2 linked regions of the Schizosaccharomyces pombe genome follow. The protein of the gene in region 1 interacts with the protein of each later gene in a pairwise test. Each region holds a gene or a part of one and is shown on either strand. Other genes may lie near its edges.

What was found.
Region 2: the proteins of tif302 (region 1) and mdv1 interact in a two-hybrid assay, tested with the Schizosaccharomyces pombe proteins (2 studies listed by BioGRID).

Annotation. Positions count from the first base shown.
Region 1 is NC_003424.3:4,308,634-4,318,470, forward strand, and holds tif302 (translation initiation factor eIF3b (p84)), read left to right. Parts: upstream 1-1,927; 5' UTR 1,928-1,945; coding exon 1,946-4,123; 3' UTR 4,124-4,428; downstream 4,429-9,837. Other genes in the region: kinesin-5 family plus-end directed microtubule motor, bimC subfamily Cut7, read right to left, coding at 1-1,343; pan1 (actin cortical patch component protein PanI), read right to left, coding at 4,588-9,837.
Region 2 is NC_003424.3:1,729,779-1,739,680, forward strand, and holds mdv1 (CCR4-Not complex subunit Caf4/Mdv1), read left to right. Parts: upstream 1-4,816; 5' UTR 4,817-5,214; coding exon 5,215-7,170; 3' UTR 7,171-7,529; downstream 7,530-9,902. Other genes in the region: SPOM_SPAC664.13 (uncharacterized protein), read left to right, coding at 1-80; plasma membrane ammonium transmembrane transporter Amt2, read left to right, coding at 1,849-3,387; calcium/calmodulin-dependent protein kinase Cmk1, read right to left, coding at 8,054-8,420, 8,483-8,813, 8,886-8,976, 9,044-9,098, 9,146-9,309.

The sequences.
Region 1 (9,837 bases):
TTCAATCGTTCGATATCTAACACTAAGTCTTTTATAAGGACTTTTCGAAAGACAAGCTGATTATTTTGAGGCTTATTGCGTATACTTTTAGCACGAGCAGCATACTCCAAAGTAGAAATTGTTTCTTCCAAATTAGTATTAGTAGAAGATACGGTAACGATCATAGAGGTTTTAGTCTTTCCCCCCAAAGAATCCTGCAATAGGCGTGTAAGCTTGGACTCACGGTATGGAATATGGTGGGCCTTTTCCACTAATGCATTAATTACTCGGCCTAATGTTAATAGTGATTGATTGATCATTCCAGTTTCTCGAGCACGTTTGTTTTCAGCTCCAGAACGTCCAATGTTCTCGCTTCCAGCCAAATCAACCATATGAAGTTTGCTGGCGCGCAGCAAGTCATCAGAGTTATTATTTATGGTAAGTGAATTAGTTTCATCTGTCATTCCCGAAGATACCTTTCTATGCAGAGTTATCGTGAAGATTGAATGACTACGAGATGAAAGATCGTTACACTTTGTAGCAGCAACTTGACGCCGGTGAGAGCCTTCACGTAACAATCGCAACCCATCGCCAGCATTTTTTATATAACTTTCTTCAATACCAGTAATAACAACGTTCCCTCTCCGCGAAGTATCTTCAAAAACACGAGCTGGCTTTCGCAATTCTTCGGAAACCAAAAGATCGCGAATTTCCTCGTTGTAAAGTTCATAATAGGAGCATTTGACAGCATATTCTTGATTACTGTTGTCCAAGGAGGAAAATAATTGATAAAGGGCACGAGGAATAAGGCCTGCTCCTTCAGACAAAATTCCATCGGAATCGCTAAGATCACCAGACATAGTATATGTTTTACCGGTTCCAGTTTGTCCGTACGCAAATATAGTACAATTATAGCCGTTCAATACTTGCTCCAGCATGGGCGCTACCGAATTTTCGAATAGCATTAACTGGTCAGCTTCAGGACCAAAGACTTTATCAAAGGCATACGTCTTCGTGACCAACATGGATGAAGGATCCGACTGGATGGCCAATTCAGCACCCATAGCGCCCGAAGTCGATACAGCAAGGCTACTATTGTCGCGTACTTCTTGGTCTGTACGACCACGAACACGGACGACTACGTTAATATTGGTTTCGTTCTCATCATGAAGTGCATGATCTGTCGGAGAATTAGTGTCGGAGCGATCTGGGTACCCAGTGTCAATAGTAGGAGGCTCACGTCGTTTCCTAGGATTGCTCGCAGAGCGGAAATGTGAATTTGGAGTAGAAACCGGGTTTTTAGCTTTCAACCCCTGCTTTCCTAGAAATTGTTGTGAGCCACCAGGTGCAACTCTAGGGGCCATTCGGTTTTATGAGTAAGGATTGTTACAAAGAAAGCGACAAGGTTGTTAATTTAAATTGCAATTCTGTTGTAAAGTTCAATAAACCACAATATAAAAAAAAGGGGTAAATTTAAAATAGGAAAAGATCGTAAACGTCTGTTTTTAGGGGTAAAAAGAATGAATAAATTGGACAATTGTCGCTCCTGAGTATGTTGTTGAATTGTTGTAAACAAGAACGAGGACTCAGACACGGTAACACTTGGAATGTCTCATTCCAATGTTTTGCAGTACAAATCAACAGTATAAAAAGAGAAAAAAGAACTTTTATGAAAAATCCAACAATTGTGCTAATACTAAAAATCAATACAAAATGAACGAACTTGGCAGATAAACTGTTGTCAGTAATGATAATAGTCAAAATCGGTAGAATGAGTTAAAATCTAAAAAAGAAGAAATATAAAACAGAATCAACTTTATTAGTTTATTTTAAATGATACCATGTTTTTTAAATTCTACTTTTCATTACTTTCAATTTTTTTTAAATTTCTCTAAAGTTACTCTTCGATGTCCCCCCAGTCACTGGGTGAAGAAACTTGACTAGAGACAACGGCACTACACCAGAAATGTCGGAAATCCTAATTGAGGAAATTAAGGATCAAATCGTCGTAAAGGACGAGGAAATCGATGTTTCTGAACTGGAAGTTAAGCTTAATGTAACTAAACCTGTTGGATATGACACGGTTGTAGTAATCGAAGGTGCTCCAGTTGTCGAAGAAGCTAAGCAGCAAGATTTCTTCCGTTTTTTGAGCTCAAAAGTCCTTGCTAAAATTGGAAAGGTTAAGGAAAATGGATTTTATATGCCATTTGAGGAAAAAAATGGAAAAAAGATGTCTCTTGGACTAGTTTTCGCCGATTTTGAAAATGTTGATGGCGCCGATCTTTGCGTTCAAGAGTTGGATGGAAAGCAAATTTTAAAAAACCATACTTTCGTTGTTCGTAAGTTGAATCAACTCGAAAAAGCTTTTAGCACTCCTGATGAATTTAGTTTCGAAGAACGTGAATTTAAGGAGCGCGAACATTTGCGTAGCTGGTTAACTGATTACTATGGTCGTGATCAATTTATCAGCTATTACGGTAACCGTGTATCTGTTAACTGGAACCGTAAGAGCGACGTCCCTGAACAGATTGTGGATCGTGAAAACTGGACCGAGACCTACGTGCAATGGTCTCCCATGGGCACTTACCTCGTATCACTTCATCTTCGTGGTATTCAATTATGGGGTGGGGAATCTTGGGGAATGTGTGCTCGTTTCTTGCACCCCTACGTAAAATTTGTCGACTTCAGCCCTAACGAGAAGTATCTTGTTTCATGGTCCTATGAGCCTGTTCGACTTCCTCCCATCGGACATCCGGCTCGTGAAACAATGCCTTTCACTGATGATGATGAAGGAAAACATTGCTTCGTTTGGGATATTGCCTCTGGTCGTATTCTTCGTTCTTTTAAGATTCCTCCTCAACCAGAAGGTTCAAAGGATGGCAAAAAAGTTATTTGGCCTATTTTCAAGTGGTCTGCCGATGATAAATACCTTGCTCGCGTTACTGTTGGTCAGTCGATTTCTGTTTATGAGACACCCTCCCTTGCTTTGGTTGACAAGAAAACTATCAAGATCGACGGTGTGCAAAATTTTGAATGGTGCCCAGTTTCAGATGCTCTCGGACGTGATTCCAAGGAGCAGCTTTTAGCTTACTGGACCCCTGAAATTACCAATCAACCTGCTCGCGTTGCCTTAATTAGTATTCCTTCAAAATCAACTATCCGTACGAAAAATCTTTTCAATGTTTCCGACTGTAAGTTGTACTGGCAGTCTAATGGTGATTATTTATGTGTTAAGGTTGATCGTCACACAAAAACTAAGAAATCAACATTCTCTAACCTTGAAATATTCCGAATTCGTGAGAAAAATATTCCCGTTGAAGTAGTGGATCTTAAGGATGTTGTTCTCAATTTTGCCTGGGAACCTAAGAGTGATCGTTTTGCCATAATTTCAGCTAATGATCAAGTTTTAAATTCTACAAATGTAAAAACTAATTTATCGTTTTATGGTTTTGAGCAGAAAAAGAACACCCCTAGTACTTTCCGTCATATCATTACTTTTGATAAGAAAACATGCAATTCACTTTTTATGGCGCCTAAGGGTAGATTTATGGTTGCTGCAACCCTTGGTTCCTCTACTCAATATGATTTGGAGTTTTACGACTTAGATTTTGATACCGAAAAGAAAGAACCGGATGCTCTTGCCAATGTTCAGCAAATAGGTTCTGCCGAGCACTTTGGTATGACTGAGCTGGAGTGGGATCCTAGTGGTCGATATGTTACTACTAGCAGTACTATTTGGAGGCATAAGCTTGAGAACGGTTACAGACTTTGCGATTTTAGGGGCACACTTCTTCGTGAAGAAATGATTGGAGAATTTAAGCAGTTTATCTGGCGTCCGAGACCTCCTTCTCCATTGACAAAGGAAGACATGAAGAAAATTAGAAAGAAACTTAAGGATTATAATCGTTTGTTTGATGAAGAGGATATCGCCGAACAGAGTTCCGCCAATCGTGAATTGGCAGCCCGTAGAAGACAGCTCATTAGTGAGTGGCAGAAATATAGGGATGAGGTTATTGCTCGGGTTGCGGAAGAACGTGCAATCACTGGCCAACCTGCTATCACTGTTCCTGCTGAAGAAGAAGAAATAATTCAGGAAACGGTTGAGGAAGTAATCTCTGAAGAGATAGAACCCGTTGAAGATTAAGGGCTTTACGCTACCTTTTGTCATAAAAAAATTGGGGCCTTCTTCGAAATCGGATGTTACTTGATTAAAATCATGATCTTGTTGCCGCAATTATGTGTTCCTGGACGTGTATTTGCGTTTCGATTGGTACTGTATGGGGAAATTTATATTTACATTAGTCCTTTTAAATGGAATTGCATTTGCGTTACATACTACTGTATATAAGTAATATAGCGTTCTTAATAGTTTTGTGAATGTCCGAGTATTATTTGACTCAAGAAAGTTTCTAAATTCATATTGTCTTAATGCACTCTAGAGATTTAAACATAAACATTTTATTGGTAAATAAAGTATAAACAAGCCAATTTAAAGAGATAATTGATAGCTGCAGAATGAGAAAATATATCATTCATAAAGAGCGCATAAAAATTAGAAACACTACAAAAACTCAACGTTTGATATGAGTACAAACAAAAGTTAAGCCACTAAGACAAATTCCCATACCAAGCGGATGAATTGCCGTCAGAAGCGTCTAAAACTCGTCCTGCTATGGGCTTGCTTTTATCCGTCGTAACCGTTTTTTTCAACCGAGTGCCAGTATGAATTTGTTGAAGTAAAGCACTACGATCTCCTGGATTGGGAACAGAAGGAGCCGATGAAGCAGGAAGAGGTGGTGGTGGAGCAGACGGTGGACCGGCAGGCATTGGCGGTGCAGATGGAGGTGGTGGTACTGACATAGGAGGAGGTGGTGGTGTTGGAGCAGACATTTGAGGTGGTGCCGCCGATTGAGGTCTTACAGGAGGTGTTGAAACAGGATGAGCAGGAGCCATACCACCGAATAATTTGGCGGCTAAGGCAGCTGCATCTTTACTTGAACGTATGTCATCTTCGCTATCTTCTTCTTCTTCATCACCATGTTGACTCCAATTGTCAGAATCGTGACCACTAGGTTGAAGAGGAGAAGGAGCTGGTGGTTGCATTTTAGCGAATGGATTGAAATGATTTGAAGGGGCTGACGGAACAGCAGGAACGGCTAAAGAAGGTTGACCTGCAGCATTCATTGCCAACGGAGAACCTGAATTATTGACAGGACCCATCCTAGGTGAAAAAGATTGCGAAGTTCCCAAGTTGGTAGCAGGAGCTATATTATTTATCGCTTGAGGCTTCTGAACAGGTTCTTGAGGTGCATAAGGTGATGATCTATGAGGCATGGAGTTGTCTGCTGGTGCAGATGACAAAGCTGCCGCAGAAGGATGCTGAGGTGCAGGCGGCGCTGGGCTAGGAACATGAGCGAAAGAAGATTGGGATGGAGGTAATGTAGAGCTAGGAGCAGTGGCAGGAGCCACCGAAGAGGGAGGCTGTTGAGCTACAGAGGGTATCATACTTGGAACAGGAACATTTGGTACCGCTGGAGGTAGCTGTGAAACAGGAGCAGGGGGTGCAGGCGCAGATGATGGAGCTGGAGCATTTGTAACCATTCCGGGCGCCTTCGGCTGAACCGGAGCTACAGCATGCATTGGTGCCGGAGGTACCACTTGTGGAGCATGGTTTGAAGGTGCACCTGGATTGGTTGGTTGACTTGCCTTAAGGGGCATAGTGGAGGTTTCATCTTCAATTGAGGAAACATTGGATCCTGAAGAAACAGAGCCAAATGAATCGCGTCTTTCAGGAGCAGATGGTCTTGCATTAACAGCATTGTGAGATGGCATTGCGTTCATAGGTTGAACGGGAGGTGGTGGAGCATGCACATTCGATGAGTCCGGTATTTGCGGTTTAGGAGAAGTGGGAACAGCTGGCCTGACAGGTGGTTCAAGTGACATTTTTGAAAACTGATTTTCCAGTGGTGCTTGTTGAGGTATGGGAGCTGTGTTAAAGGACGTAGAAGTAGTAGATGGGTCTTTAACAGCTGCTGTTGGAATTTGTTTAGTCGGCTGGGGGTGCTGAACAGTGGGAACCACAGCTGGAGGAGTAGAAATAGAAGCTGAAACAGCCGGTACATTAGAAGAAACTGCTGAAGCTTGTTTTCCGGGTTGAATCTGTTGAGCAGTGGGTGCGGCGACTGGTGTGCTAGTTGCAGAATTGACTGGTGCAGGAGAAGGTGTACCCTTTTGACGAGGTTTTATACCAAGAGCGGCCAAACGCTCATTCATACGACGTTGGGCTTCAGCCTTGATACGAGCAGCACGATCTTCAAGATTAGACGAAGCTGATGGTGATTCAGAAGTAGCTTTAACCTCGGGAGTGTGCGTATTTGATTCAATGGGCTTCGATTGTTGAACTGTGGAAACAGAGGGAGGGTTCAAAGTTTGAGGTGCTGCTGGGGCAGGTACAGGCAGCTCTTTGACAACACGCGTGACAGATTCATCAACAACGTTCTGAGATAGCCAAGCATCATCATTTGCCGCTGAAGGTAGAAGTTTTGCTCTAATGTTATTCTCAATGTTGGTAACATAATTTTTCATTTGCTCAAGCGCAGCCTTTGATTCATTCTTTTGTTTCTCCATTTCTGCTAACTTCGAAGAAATTGTTCTATTACGTTCTTGGGTAGCCTCTGGAGATGTTTGGTCATAAGAATTTTTAGTATCCTCTGCTTGGAAAAGTTTGAGCGACAAGCTGGCAATTGTATGATCAACTTCATTAATATCAGAAAGCATTTTAGAGACACGGGTGCTCAGCTCTTCTAATCGCACATTCATAGAAGCAACTTCAGGTGACTTGTTAGAAGTAGAAAGTCGATTAATCTCATCTTGAACAGATTTAATGCGATAAATTAAAGAGTCATTTTGAACGTCATTGGCAGGAGTAGCAGCCAGTTTCTTATCTTCAAGAGCATTGACAACAAGACTCTTTTCATGAATTCGTTTTTTAAGAGAAGCTATTTCAGAATCAATATCATTAATAATAGGAGGAGCAGATTCAATCTTTTCTTCCTTAAAATCTCTTCTTCGAGCACTAGAAACATATGCAGATGCATCAGAATCATTGTGCCGATACAATGTAGCATCCTTTTCAGTCGTTTCGCTAGGATTGTCATAAAACGAATTCTTCTTAAGTTTGCTTTGATTTTCGGCGCCAAAAGGTTTTCTGTTACTCGTGTCATTCTTAATTAGGTTCTTAACTTGATTCAACGACTCAGTAAAGTTTCTAGTAGAAGGAGGAATTAACTCAGGGGGAAGCACGGCAGGTACTTCATTACCATTCAATTTGCGATATATCAAATGAAGGGCAACAGCAAATTCATCACGGTCTAAAGAACCCTTGTCACCGTGATCACATAAGTTCCAAATATGCTCAAGCTCAGTCCGGGTTAACTTGCTTTGACCAAAAATTTCCAAAACTGCGTTGCCACCAAGGGTACCCTTTCGCTCCTTGTCCCAAGCATCAAAAATTTGGTCATAAATTCGTTTTTCTTCTTTGCTGATAGCCCAAGGAATATCTTTCTTCTGCTGAAACGTATTGTTAAGGCCTCCAGAAGGAGCATTTGGCATCATTTGCTGTCCTAATGCTTCAATTCCAGGAAGATTACTTAAAGGAGTATTAATGAAGCCCCATTGACCAGGCATTCCGGTTGGTTGAGGTGCCATACCACCAGTGCGCTGGGGAAGCATAGGACCACCAGTCATCTGAGGTTGCATACCGGTTCTCTGAGGTGCCATCGGCTGCATTCCAGTTCTTTGGGGAGCCATCGGTTGCTGCATACCTGGCATCTGAGGCTGCATACCAGTTCTTTGAGGCATCATGGGTTGCATGCCAGTTCGTTGAGGCGCCATCGGTTGTTGCATGCCTGGCATTTGAGGCTGCATACCGGTTCTTTGAGGCATCATGGGTTGCATACCGGTTCTCTGAGGCGCCATCGGCTGCATTCCAGTTCTTTGGGGAGCCATCGGTTGCTGCATACCTGGCATTTGAGGCTGCATACCAGTTCTCTGAGGCATCATGGGTTGCATACCGGTTCTTTGGGGAGCCATCGGTTGTTGCATACCTGGCATTTGAGGCTGCATACCAGTTCTCTGAGGCATCATGGGTTGCATGCCGGTTCTTTGGGGAGCCATCGGTTGCTGCATACCAGTTCTTTGAGGCATCATGGGTTGCATGCCAGTTCTTTGGGGAGCCATCGGTTGCTGCATACCTGGCATTTGAGGCTGCATACCAGTTCTCTGAGGCATCATGGGTTGCATGCCGGTTCTTTGGGGAGCCATAGGTTGTTGAAATCCAGTCATTTGAGGTTGCATACCAGTTCTTTGAGGCATCATGGGTTGCATGCCAGTTCTTTGAGGAGCCATCGGTTGCTGCAAACCCGGCATCATGGGCTGCATGCCAGTTCTTTGAGGAACCATAGGTTGTTGAAATCCAGTCATCTGTGGTTGCAAACCAGTTCTTTGAGGCATCATGGGTTGTTGAAATCCAGTCATTTGGGGCTGCATGCCAGTTCTTTGAGGAACCATAGGTTGTTGAAATCCAGTCATCTGTGGTTGCAAACCAGTTCTTTGAGGCATCATGGGTTGTTGAAATCCAGTCATTTGGGGCTGCATGCCAGTTCTTTGAGGAATCATAGGTTGTTGAAATCCGGTCATCTGTGGCTGCATTCCAGTGCGCTGTGGCATCATCGCCTGCGGCTGAAATCCGGTTATTTGAGAAGGTATACCAGCAGCTTGCTGGAATCCACCAAACATTTGAGCTGCCATCTGCTGAGCAGCAGCTTGTGGAATTGGCTGAGTTGGTTTTGCGTAATTTTCATCCAACGAAAATGAAATTGCATCTACCATGGCATTTACCTCATTAAGAATCCCATCCGGAACCTTATCAGGTATGGGCTTCCCTGTAAGTCCTAAGTTACAAAGATACATAGCCAATACAAATTGAGGAAACAAAAGGCGACCAGAGCGGGTGGTATCTGATAACCTCCAAATTTTTGATAACTGAACGGTAGGAAGCTTAGAACGAACAAGTATTGCTTTACCGATCTCAGATGACATTGCTTCTTCTCTACCAACAGCAGATTTGAAAAGTTGCTCAAATTTGGCCTGATCAGCAGCAGAGACGAATGATAATCTAGTGTCCATCGCTTTACTATTATGAATTTGACCAGTCTTTTGAGGTTTAAGGGGCTGTGCAGCAGGCATGAAGGACGCAGTTTGCTGAGGTTGAACAAAAGATGCAAAAGGTCCAGTAGGTTGAGCTTGCAAATATCCAGTGGGTTGAGGTGGCATTACTACACCAGTTTGCTGAGGTTGAACAAATCCAGTAGGTTGTGGAGCAAACGATGGAGCAGCCCCAAAGGGTTGAGTCTGCATAAAGCCAGTTGCTTGTGGAGCAAATCCACCAGTCTTTTGGGGTTGCATAAAGTTATTCATTTGAGGTTGATATGCCGGCATTGCTCCAGTCCGTTGAGGCTGTATAAAGCCTGCACCACCAGTCCTTTGCGGTTGCATAAATGAAGCAGGCTGTTGCGACATAAACCCTGTAGGTTGCGGTTGCACAAACCCCGTAGGTTGGGGGGCAAATCCAGGTATAGCTCCAGTTTGCTGAGGTTGCATAAAACCTGTATTGTTCATTGTTTGAGGCATCATCCCATTATAGCCATACATTTGCTGCTGCTGTTGGCCATAATCGGCTACAGACCCCGTAGGCTGAGAAGCATATCCGAATCCATTATTAAACTGAGTAGCTGGTTGTGATTGCTGAAAAGGTAGCATCGTATTACCAGCATAGCCATCAGGTTGATAAGGCTGTTG
Region 2 (9,902 bases), 2.6 Mb from region 1:
ATCAAATGAATTTCTTTCATCAAATACTCGATAATGACAACCTCGATGGTTTCCTTACTGGATCCAGCAAACCTTGCTAGATTTATTTGCGAATGGGAATGACTATAGAATTAGCTCAATCCTGTATGCTTCCTGCTACTCTTTCATATAGGTTTAAAGAATCCTTTCGTTTGAAGAGACATGGCAAGTTACGTTTTTTATTCCTTCCTACCATCCTTTGTACACTTAGCATCAAACTCATTAAAATGAACCAATCCACTTGGTCTGTAAACCTAACAAGGCTTGTGTGAAGCTTTAAATAACGTAAAAGAGAAAGAATAACTTAAAAAAATGCAGCTAGAAAAACAGAGAAGCAAGAAATGGATACCTTCTAGTTTACTATTTTGCGCAACTAGATACTCTGTTGCTGCTATTTGAAGAGGCAGTAAGCACGCATAGTTGTTCTTTATTTTTGCATTTTTTTAATCTCATTTTGTAATGAAATAAAGATAATTAAATGGTTTTCTTCTCTTTCACACGTGTCTATGCCTCAGCTTCCATTCCGTGGCATTTTTTTGACGGGTCGACTGCCGACAATACTGAGCAACAAATCCAGGGTGAAAGCTGCTTACTATTCAACTTTAAACGAATCTATAACCCACCGTTTAGATATTGATAGAATTTGGTTATCCAGCTATCAGTTACATTTGCAGTTTATCGCCTATCTCTTCATACTTAAATTTGCATAAGGTTGTTATCTCAACTATCGTTCTGTGGAGAATAATCCAGATCTGAAAGTTACTTGTTTACATTTTCTGTTGAATTACTAAAAATTTTTTTTTGCTACATTCACTGTCTTAGAGGCGCTGTTCCATCCTATTTTACTTATAAACTTACTGTTTTCAAGGCAAAACTACATTTCGTGTGTCGTTGCTGTCTGTACATTAAATCTACCCGGGGGAAGGAGTTGAATGGAAAAGGAGGCCATGCTCCACAATAGTTAAATAGCTGTGTTGAAAATCCATTTAACTGAAAGGCAAACTCGTACATTGTTGTGACGATGCCGGTCTTTCTCATCTATTCCCATCTCAAAAAAGTAACAACCTTCTGTGAACGAATTTTTTTTCCCGAGTCATCCGTTACAGCTTCGGATAGAAAAACCATCACTACCTTGTAGTTAAAAAACATTTATTTAAAAAAGAAATTATCCGCTATCTACCTGGTTTTTTTTACTCGTGCTGGAAGTCGCCTCTGTGTGCCCCCGTTATTTACTACTGACATATATAGCGATTTTCGGTGAGCGTCAAACACAACTTCTTCCCCAAACAGCGCCATTGTCAATTTCACGAATTTTTGAATGTTTGGGATTGTGGAAGTCGACATCGTTTCTTGAGATTATACTACTTGTAAAAGTGCTGTTTACATCTAGTCACTCGAAGTTTTGATTCGTTTGAGAAATTGCTGAAGATTATATCTCGATCTTGACTTAAATTCAAGAGAAAATAGTGTTTTTTTTTAATAAATGCTAGAATATTTATCCATTTCCCTTGGATATTTTACTTTTTTTTCTTTTTGAAAATATAGATCAGATCATTGATTTTCTGTTTTAAGAGTTCCCCTTTTACGTAACAACTTCCTTTTTGGTTAAATCATATTAAGTATTTTTAACCATCACTGATTCTAGTGTCTGAATCAATTACTAATAGTCTTATTACTGTGCTTTGCTTCTTTGTTGACCAAAAAGTTTTATAACTCAGAATCTTTAGGACCTTTCCAATCCAATTTAACATTTAATCATTTTTAAATCCCTCTCTTAATTTCAAAGGTATAAAAAAGAAAGAAAAAATTTTTTCTAAAAAATTCGTTGCCATGTCGTCAGTGAATTCAATTCCCACAGCAACTTCTACTGTTTATATTTCAGTACTGCCAGCTACAGCTACACCTAGTGGTGGTAGTGGTGGAAATGTTTTGCACGAAGATCTTAATAAATTTTATGATTATGGAAACACTAGTTGGATTTTAGCTTGTACTCCATTGTGTCTTATTATGGTGCCTGGTGTGGCTTTTTTCTACTCTGGCTTAGCAAGAAGGAAAAATACATTGGCTCTTATCATGCTCTCTATGCTTGGTTTATGTGTTAGTTTTTTCCAATGGTATTTCTGGGGTTATTCTCTTGCTTTTTCTCAAACTGGAACCTCTGGTTATATTGGCAATCTTCGTCATTTTGCCTTTATTCGCACACTTGCCGATTACTCTCCTGGTAGCAATAATATTCCCGAGCTTGTATTTGCAAATTTTCAAGGAATGTTCGCCGCAATTACTGTAGCCCTCTTCACTGGTGCCGCCGCTGAAAGAGGTCGTATTGGTCCAATGCTCATCATCACATTTGTGTGGCTCACTGTCGTTTATTGTCCCATAGCGTGTTGGATTTGGAATCCAAATGGTTGGGCTTTTAAATTTGGTGTATACGATTTCGCTGGCGGAGGACCTGTAGAAGTTGGATCAGGATTTGCAGCTTTGGCGTATACGGTTTGTTTAGGACGTCGATCCAAATTTGTTGAGGAACAATTTCGCCCTCATTCTGTGCTCAATGTTGTATTGGGAACATCTCTGCTATGGTTTGGTTGGCTTGGTTTCAACGGTGGTAGTGCTTACGGCTCCAATCTGCGAGCCGCTATGGCAATCACCAACACAAACTTAGCAGGTGCTGTAGCTGGTTTAGTATGGGTTATTTACGACTACATTTTTCGCACTAGGAAATGGTCAACCATAGGTTTTTGTTCCGGGGTTGTTGCCGGTTTGGTGGCTGCAACGCCTTGTGCTGGTTTTGTGAGTCCTCATGCCTCTTTGGCAATTGGTGCTATTACTGGCTTATGTTGCAATTGGGCCATTAAGTTAAAGTCACATATGCGCATTGATGATGCGATGGATATTTTCGCTATCCACGGTGTTGCGGGTTTTGTGGGTACCTTTTTGAATGGTTTGTTTGCCGTTGATTATATCGCAGCAATGGATGGTATTTATGTTGGTGAAAACAAAATCAGAGGTGGTTGGTTTGATCACCATTGGCGCCAACTAGGCTTGCAAATGGCCTATATTTGTGCTGTTGGTGCATACGACTTTGTTGTCACGTTTATCATTTTATTCATTACGGACAAAATTCCCTACCTTCAACTTCGAGTGAGCCCTGATGCTGAAGAAATTGGTGTGGATGCTGATCAAATAGGTGAATACGCGTTTGATTATATTGAAGAACGTCGTGAATATAAGCATTGGAAGATTTCCCCTGCCGGTGTACCTGAAGAAATCATTATTTCCAATGGCGTTGCTCAACCTACTGGAAATGTGGCTGCTCCCGGCAAGATTCTAGAATCAACAAACCCATTGGAGCTTGGACTTACGATCTAAATCTTTTTGCATCGTACAAAGTTATTTGGGTTTAAAAAAAAAAAGTAAAAGGTTGAATTGGAGAAAAGATTTTAAGTTAATAAAAGAAATGAAAATTTTGGTAGATTGGTTTATGATTGTTTAAAGAAAAAAAGAAAATAGCACAACTACAAGGTCGCTGTTTGGGAAGTTTTGAACAAAATTACAAAGACTAGAAATTTCTTGAAAGATTTGCTTGTTTTTACTTCTAAAGAGGTCAGAATCTTAAATTATAATTTTAAGGTTTTTTTTTTGTTAACAGCATTTAAAATGAATTCGGTTTAAAGGCAAGACTAATAATTGTAATGAAAATATTTTTATGCGAATTTGGTTTGTAATTTGTGTATCCAAATATGAAGAGAATTAATTATCTTATAAGCCAAAAGATTTAAAATGAGCAAGTCAATCTTTGTTTCCAGTCATAATAAGTTTGTATTTTGTATAATCATCATTCACCATGAAACCAATGAATAGGTACAAAAAAGTACGTCGAATTAGGCTTTAATAACTATTTACTGTTTACGAATTTACCGGAAGTGAAAACCTCACTACTGCATCGAAACAAAAAATAAAAAGTAAACTCCCACTGCGAGACTCGAACTCGCAACCTTCCGGTTAAAAGCCGGACGCTCTAAGCCGATTGAGCTAAACGGGACTTGGTTGAATGGGGTTAAACTTAGTAGTTTATATCTAATTACTTTTAGAACGTATTTTTAATGAGAATATTGAATATGAAATTTCTATATAAACTTGGCGATTGAAATTGATAATTAGCGAATCTCTTGTATCCATATATGTATATTTTATATGTATTTAAATAATATTCAGTTTTGAATAAAGAAGAGTCTTTGAGTCTTAAATTAGGCAATAGATGATGAGTTCCTATGAATTTTTTTAATTTTTTAATAAAAATAACAAATCAAATTAAAGTAAAGGTTAAAAAAATATAAAATTCAAGAAAGAAACATGTTGAGTTATTCTACTCATTATTACAAAAATAATATGTAATGTCTGAACCATCATTCCGCTTTACTAAATGTTTTATTTATTTTATTGCATTACTGTTAAGATGTCAATTTATATATATATTCAATAAAACTGTAAGAGGGTTTGAAGGGCCAGTAAAATTAGCAGTCTATAGTAAGATATATAATTTATAATTTTTATGAACTTTGGTACTCTTGTTTCAGTAAATTGTGTGAATTTATTTATAGTGCTAATAAGATAAATTCGATGAGGATAATTTCTTACAAGTGCCAAACAGTTGAAGTAATAACTTTATTCATAGTATGGATTTTTTTTTTCTACTTCTCTTTCATTTTTGACCTACATATTCCATTTCTACTTTCTCTACCGCCATTGGATTCGCTCATCCCTCTAGTACTTACGTTGCTTTTTCCTTCCTTCTTCCACACACCAGTGACAAAAAAGCTTGTATATTCAATTGTCTCTTGATTTTTATCAAATACAAGCTGAGATTAAAAGAGCTGGACATTTACTACAAATTTTAGTTGTTTGCTTAATTCCCATTGGTTTTTGTTTTGTAAAAGTACGTGCGGGAATCATACTCTTATTGAACTTCTTATACCTTACACGTAGCGTCGATTGAAAAGATTTTATTTCTCAACTCATCTAAAAATTGCTTTCTTTTTTAAGGCCTTCATCTGGATATATCATTTATCTCCGTAAAGCCACCTTTTTTAACCGCTTTTACGTTTGGGAGATCTGAACCCTTTACCTCATTATTTTAATTCCTTAAAGTATTAAAGTTCACTAGCTTTTCTTCTAATTGTTGGCTTTTTTCGTTTTATGACTGATAATAATTCAAAGAGCAAAGATTCTTCACAAAAAATTCCAAATGATTCGTTAACTCCCACTATTTCGAAAGGTTTAAGAAAAGATGTTTTTTATTGGACTAAAGCCATAGCTTATACAACGTGGAATTTCTTCGATTCTAGTCCAGTTACACCTCAAAGAAATCCCATATCTCTGTTCGTGCGTGGCCTTTCTCATCCTTTTTTACGCCATCGTTTATCCAAATCCCAATTTAATGAATGGTTTTTATCACATAACGGTGTTGATCCAGTTCAAGCTCAAACATTGCCCGATCCTCTTTTGTTTGATATTCCGGACCATCAAGAAACGTCTTATAGTTTGCTTGAAGGTTACTCAGTCACTGCTCACGATCATTCCGACACTTCACCTTTGCCGATAACAAGCTCCAACCAAAAGGAAGGCAAAAAAAATGTATCATCGATTGATGTGTCAATGGTTTCCGACTCTTCTGAATTTAAGCCCGATAGCTTACAACACGAAAAATTGGTGAAGAAATGCAATCAACTTCGTCTTCAAAAGCTCATTAATTCTAGCGAACTTGCACAGATTGATTTGGAGTTGTCCAAACTCTATTCTCGAAGAAGGCAAGTTCTTGAACGCCTTAGCAAGATCGAGGAACAGAATTTAAAGTATACTTCCAAGCTGGCTTCTGTTGAGAAACTGATGTTAGATTCGGATGCTCAAGATTTGTATAGCTCATATTCTCATGATTTAATTCCTTCACAAATTGAAGCGGGTAAAAATGGAGCTAACCCCGATGTTTTTGATGATACACACGACAAGTATACAGATAATTTATCTGCTAGGGCTATCTCTCCAAGAGCTCCAAGGCCATCTACGGCTAGTGAAGTGGTATCAGATTACTTTGAACAGAATTCCGCTTTTTCTAAAGCACCAGAGAATACTGAATCATCTGTGAATCAAAATTATATAGTTGGAAATCTCGTAAAGCAGTTTCAAGCTCATTCTGAATATATTACGAGTCTTGATTTTTCCCATCCTTTTGGAACTTTAGCTACGGCCTCGACTGACAAAACTGTGAAAGTTTGGGATATGGCGGGTGTTGTATACCTGGGTTCATTGAAAGGTCATTCTGATTATGTTTCTTGTCTGGCGATTCAAGACTCCTTTATTGCTACTGGCTCTATGGATACAACCGTGCGGTTATGGAATTTAGATAATGATGTACTTCATAAGGATAATCCTGTTGAAGAGAGCCTTAATTCTCCTCCCGATCAACCTGTTGACAATGCCACAAATGTTTTAACATCTCACACTGCCCCTGTCACTGCATTAGCATTATCTAGTGATGATGTGCTTATAACCGGTGCCGATGATAAAACTGTTCGACAGTGGGATATCGTTACGGGGCGTTGTATTCAAACTTTGGACTTTGTGTGGGCGGAAACTCATGATACATCTACTAGTCAAATTTTGGTCAGTGACACTTACAAACAAGAACCTTTCATCAGAGCTTTAGACTGCTTAGATGCTGCTGTGGCTAGTGGGACTGTCGATGGACTTATTCGCATCTGGGATTTGCGAATCGGTCTTCCTGTGAGAAGTTTCATTGGGCACACAGCTCCTATTTCTTCTTTGCAATTCGATTCCAACCATTTGTATTCCGGAAGCTATGACAATTCTGTTAGAATATGGGATTTACGAAGTGGCTCGCCAATTAATATTATACCTATGGAGAAAAAAGTGAATTCCTTAAGACTGTATCAAGGTCGTCTTGCTGTAGCATCTGATGAACCAAATGTTAGGATATTTGATACTGTATCTAATCGGAACTGGATTTGTTCAATTCCTTCTCACTCTGATTCCATAGCAGCCGAACCTAACTCAGTACCTACTTCTGTTCAATATAAAGATCGCTTTTTGGTGGATGGAAAGTCTGATGGATCTGTTAGCGTTTTTTCTGCTTAATTTGTATTTTTTATCCACACCTTTATTTATTATACTCTCGTTATTGTGTTGAATCTGGATAACGTTAATTTTAAAATTTTATGTCTTTATGCTTTGGTTAATGGGTATTAACTTCTGTTTGGTTTTTTTATTTATTTATGGACAAATAAAAAGGAACGAGACATTGCGAATAAAAAACTGTGATGTTAATTTTGTTCAAAATATTTAAAAAAATTCTCAAAGCAAATTGTTTGATCACCACCTCCCTTCTGCTTCTTATACTGTAGGTTTAAAATTTAGTAAATAAAAATCTTTTCTAGTTTACATTTTTTTGGTTTTACTAGTATGAAGTACGCAACCTCATTCTGATCTGAGATGTTGTATTTCATTTTGTTGATCCAGTTTACAAAACACGCTCAGCGTGTTTAATGTCAACTACACATAATAAGTATTGAAGAATCTTTTTGAAATTAGCAATTTGAACTCACACAGTGAGTAAAATATGGAAATAACCAAGCTCTTTTTATATTTCAGATTAACTGAATGGTCATTTTATTTTTGAAGCATAAATAGTCATAAATGCTAAAATTTCAAAATTTTACATCTGCAATATATATAGAGAATTAAACAACTGCGTTCATCTGTCGTCAACAGTCTAACAATGTCAGAAAACTGGTAGCGTTACTTTTTAAAACATCGACATAACTTTTAGCATTTTGTATGAGGCTATTTTAAAAACTAAGTAGAGAACATGATAGGTCCAAGCATTCCAAATCACAAAGAATATATTTAACATGTAAGAGTGTTAATACCAAAAAAGTATGTACTGAGGGCAAAAGATAATAAAGAAGTCATAAGTCATAACAAGATAAAATAAGAAAGTTATAAGAAAAGATGTGTATAATTAATGCTTATTCTCAAGCTTTTTCCAAGTGTTGAAAGCACGTACAGCGTTATAGGCAGTACGGAACGTTTTTCTTGCATTGAAATTTTCCCGGACGTTTGGAAGCAAATTGGAGGTTGCGGGACGCTTTTCAGACAGGAAGGGGTGCTTCAACGCATCAGCAGCAGTTAAACGTTTCGAAGGGTCGTTTTCCAAACATTTTTTAATAAAGTCCTTGGCCGTTTCTGAAATGCCAGACCAGCAAGGATCGTTAAAAGTGTACTCGTTAGCTAAAATTGCTTCTATAACTTCAACCTGAGAAGGTCGAGCAAATGGAGTATAACCACTGAGTAAAAAATAAGTTATAACGCCAATAGCCCACATATCTCTATAAACAGTATTAGTCAAGATACATAACTTCTGAATTAAAATGGTAGTTGATCAACTTACACAGGTTTTCCATATCCGGTTCGACGAAAGACTTCGGGTGCCATGTACTCTGGTGTCCCACATGCCGTCATGAGCATATAGTATTGAGAATCCTCATAAAAGTGGGACAATCCAAAATCGGCAATTAACAAATCTGAATTCGGATCTTTAGAGCGATAAAGTAAATTTTCTGGCTTCAAATCTCGATGTACAATTCCATTGTCATGCAAGTACTTAACTGCTGATGTGGTAGTACGCATTAAAGCAGCAGCATCGGCCTCATAAAATGAACCTTTGGCACATATTCTATCAAAAAGTTCACCACCGGTGGCCAGTTCAGTGATTAAGTACACTGTTTCAAGGGTTAGTGAACAAAACACATCACAATAACATTTGATTCATCAAATCGAAATCGGAGACATACGATTATTCACAGTTTCAAAAAAATCAACCAAGTGTAAGATATTAGGATGTTCATAAGAAACACGTTTTAGAATTGCAATTTCATTCTTCACCTATACCACCAAAAACATGTTAGTAAACGTAAATAAGGATGCTGTAAGTACTTAAGTCTTTACTTACAAAGTCTTGTTTCTTCTCCATCATCTTTTTATTCATAATCTTAGCCGCATACATTCTATGAAAATTTGGTCAGCAAACAACTCGAATTTAAAATATACTTACTTGTTAGTTTCGATATGAACGGCTTCACGAACCGTCGCATATGTTCCGCCTCCCAAAACCCGACCGACACGATATTTGCAAGGTAATAGTTGTTTCTGATCCACCGTAGCCTTTGGAGCACCGTCTTTCAAGGCCGAGGTGTTTGGTTTGTATGTTTGCTGCATAGCTGTAAAGAATCAATAGATGAATTATTCCAATGCCAACGAAGGTAAACGTAAAAGGTTTCTCTTAATGTAAATTATTGTATTGTTAGATGGTGCCATAAACAATTCTGTACTACAGAATTCTTTTATGAAACCAAAAATGTAAAGGTATGTAAATGAAAAAAATCCCGTAGAAACAATAAAGAAAATATTATTTGCGCGAAGCAGGCTGTTGAGTTAAACGGTGGTTCAATAACAGAATGATCTAAGCAGCGCAATGACTGTCCACCAACTTATGACAATAAGTGCTTAGCCTCAACTTGTAAATATGGAAAAATTTGGAAAAGGTATATTGAAATCCTCGGATTTAACAGGATATTGATATTGAATGTACCCGAATAGTATTGATGAAGATAACAAGAAAACCAGCGTCTGATAAATACCGTCCAACTGATTTGCAATTGCAAAACCAGTAGTCTGCAGTATAGTCATAAATCCTGGTAATTCCCAATCGGTTCAGTAATTTCCGTACCTATTTTCCTCTTCTAAGAGAAAACAAGATCAGAAAGATCAAAATTACAATTAGCGTATTGAAACCACCAAACACTGTAACA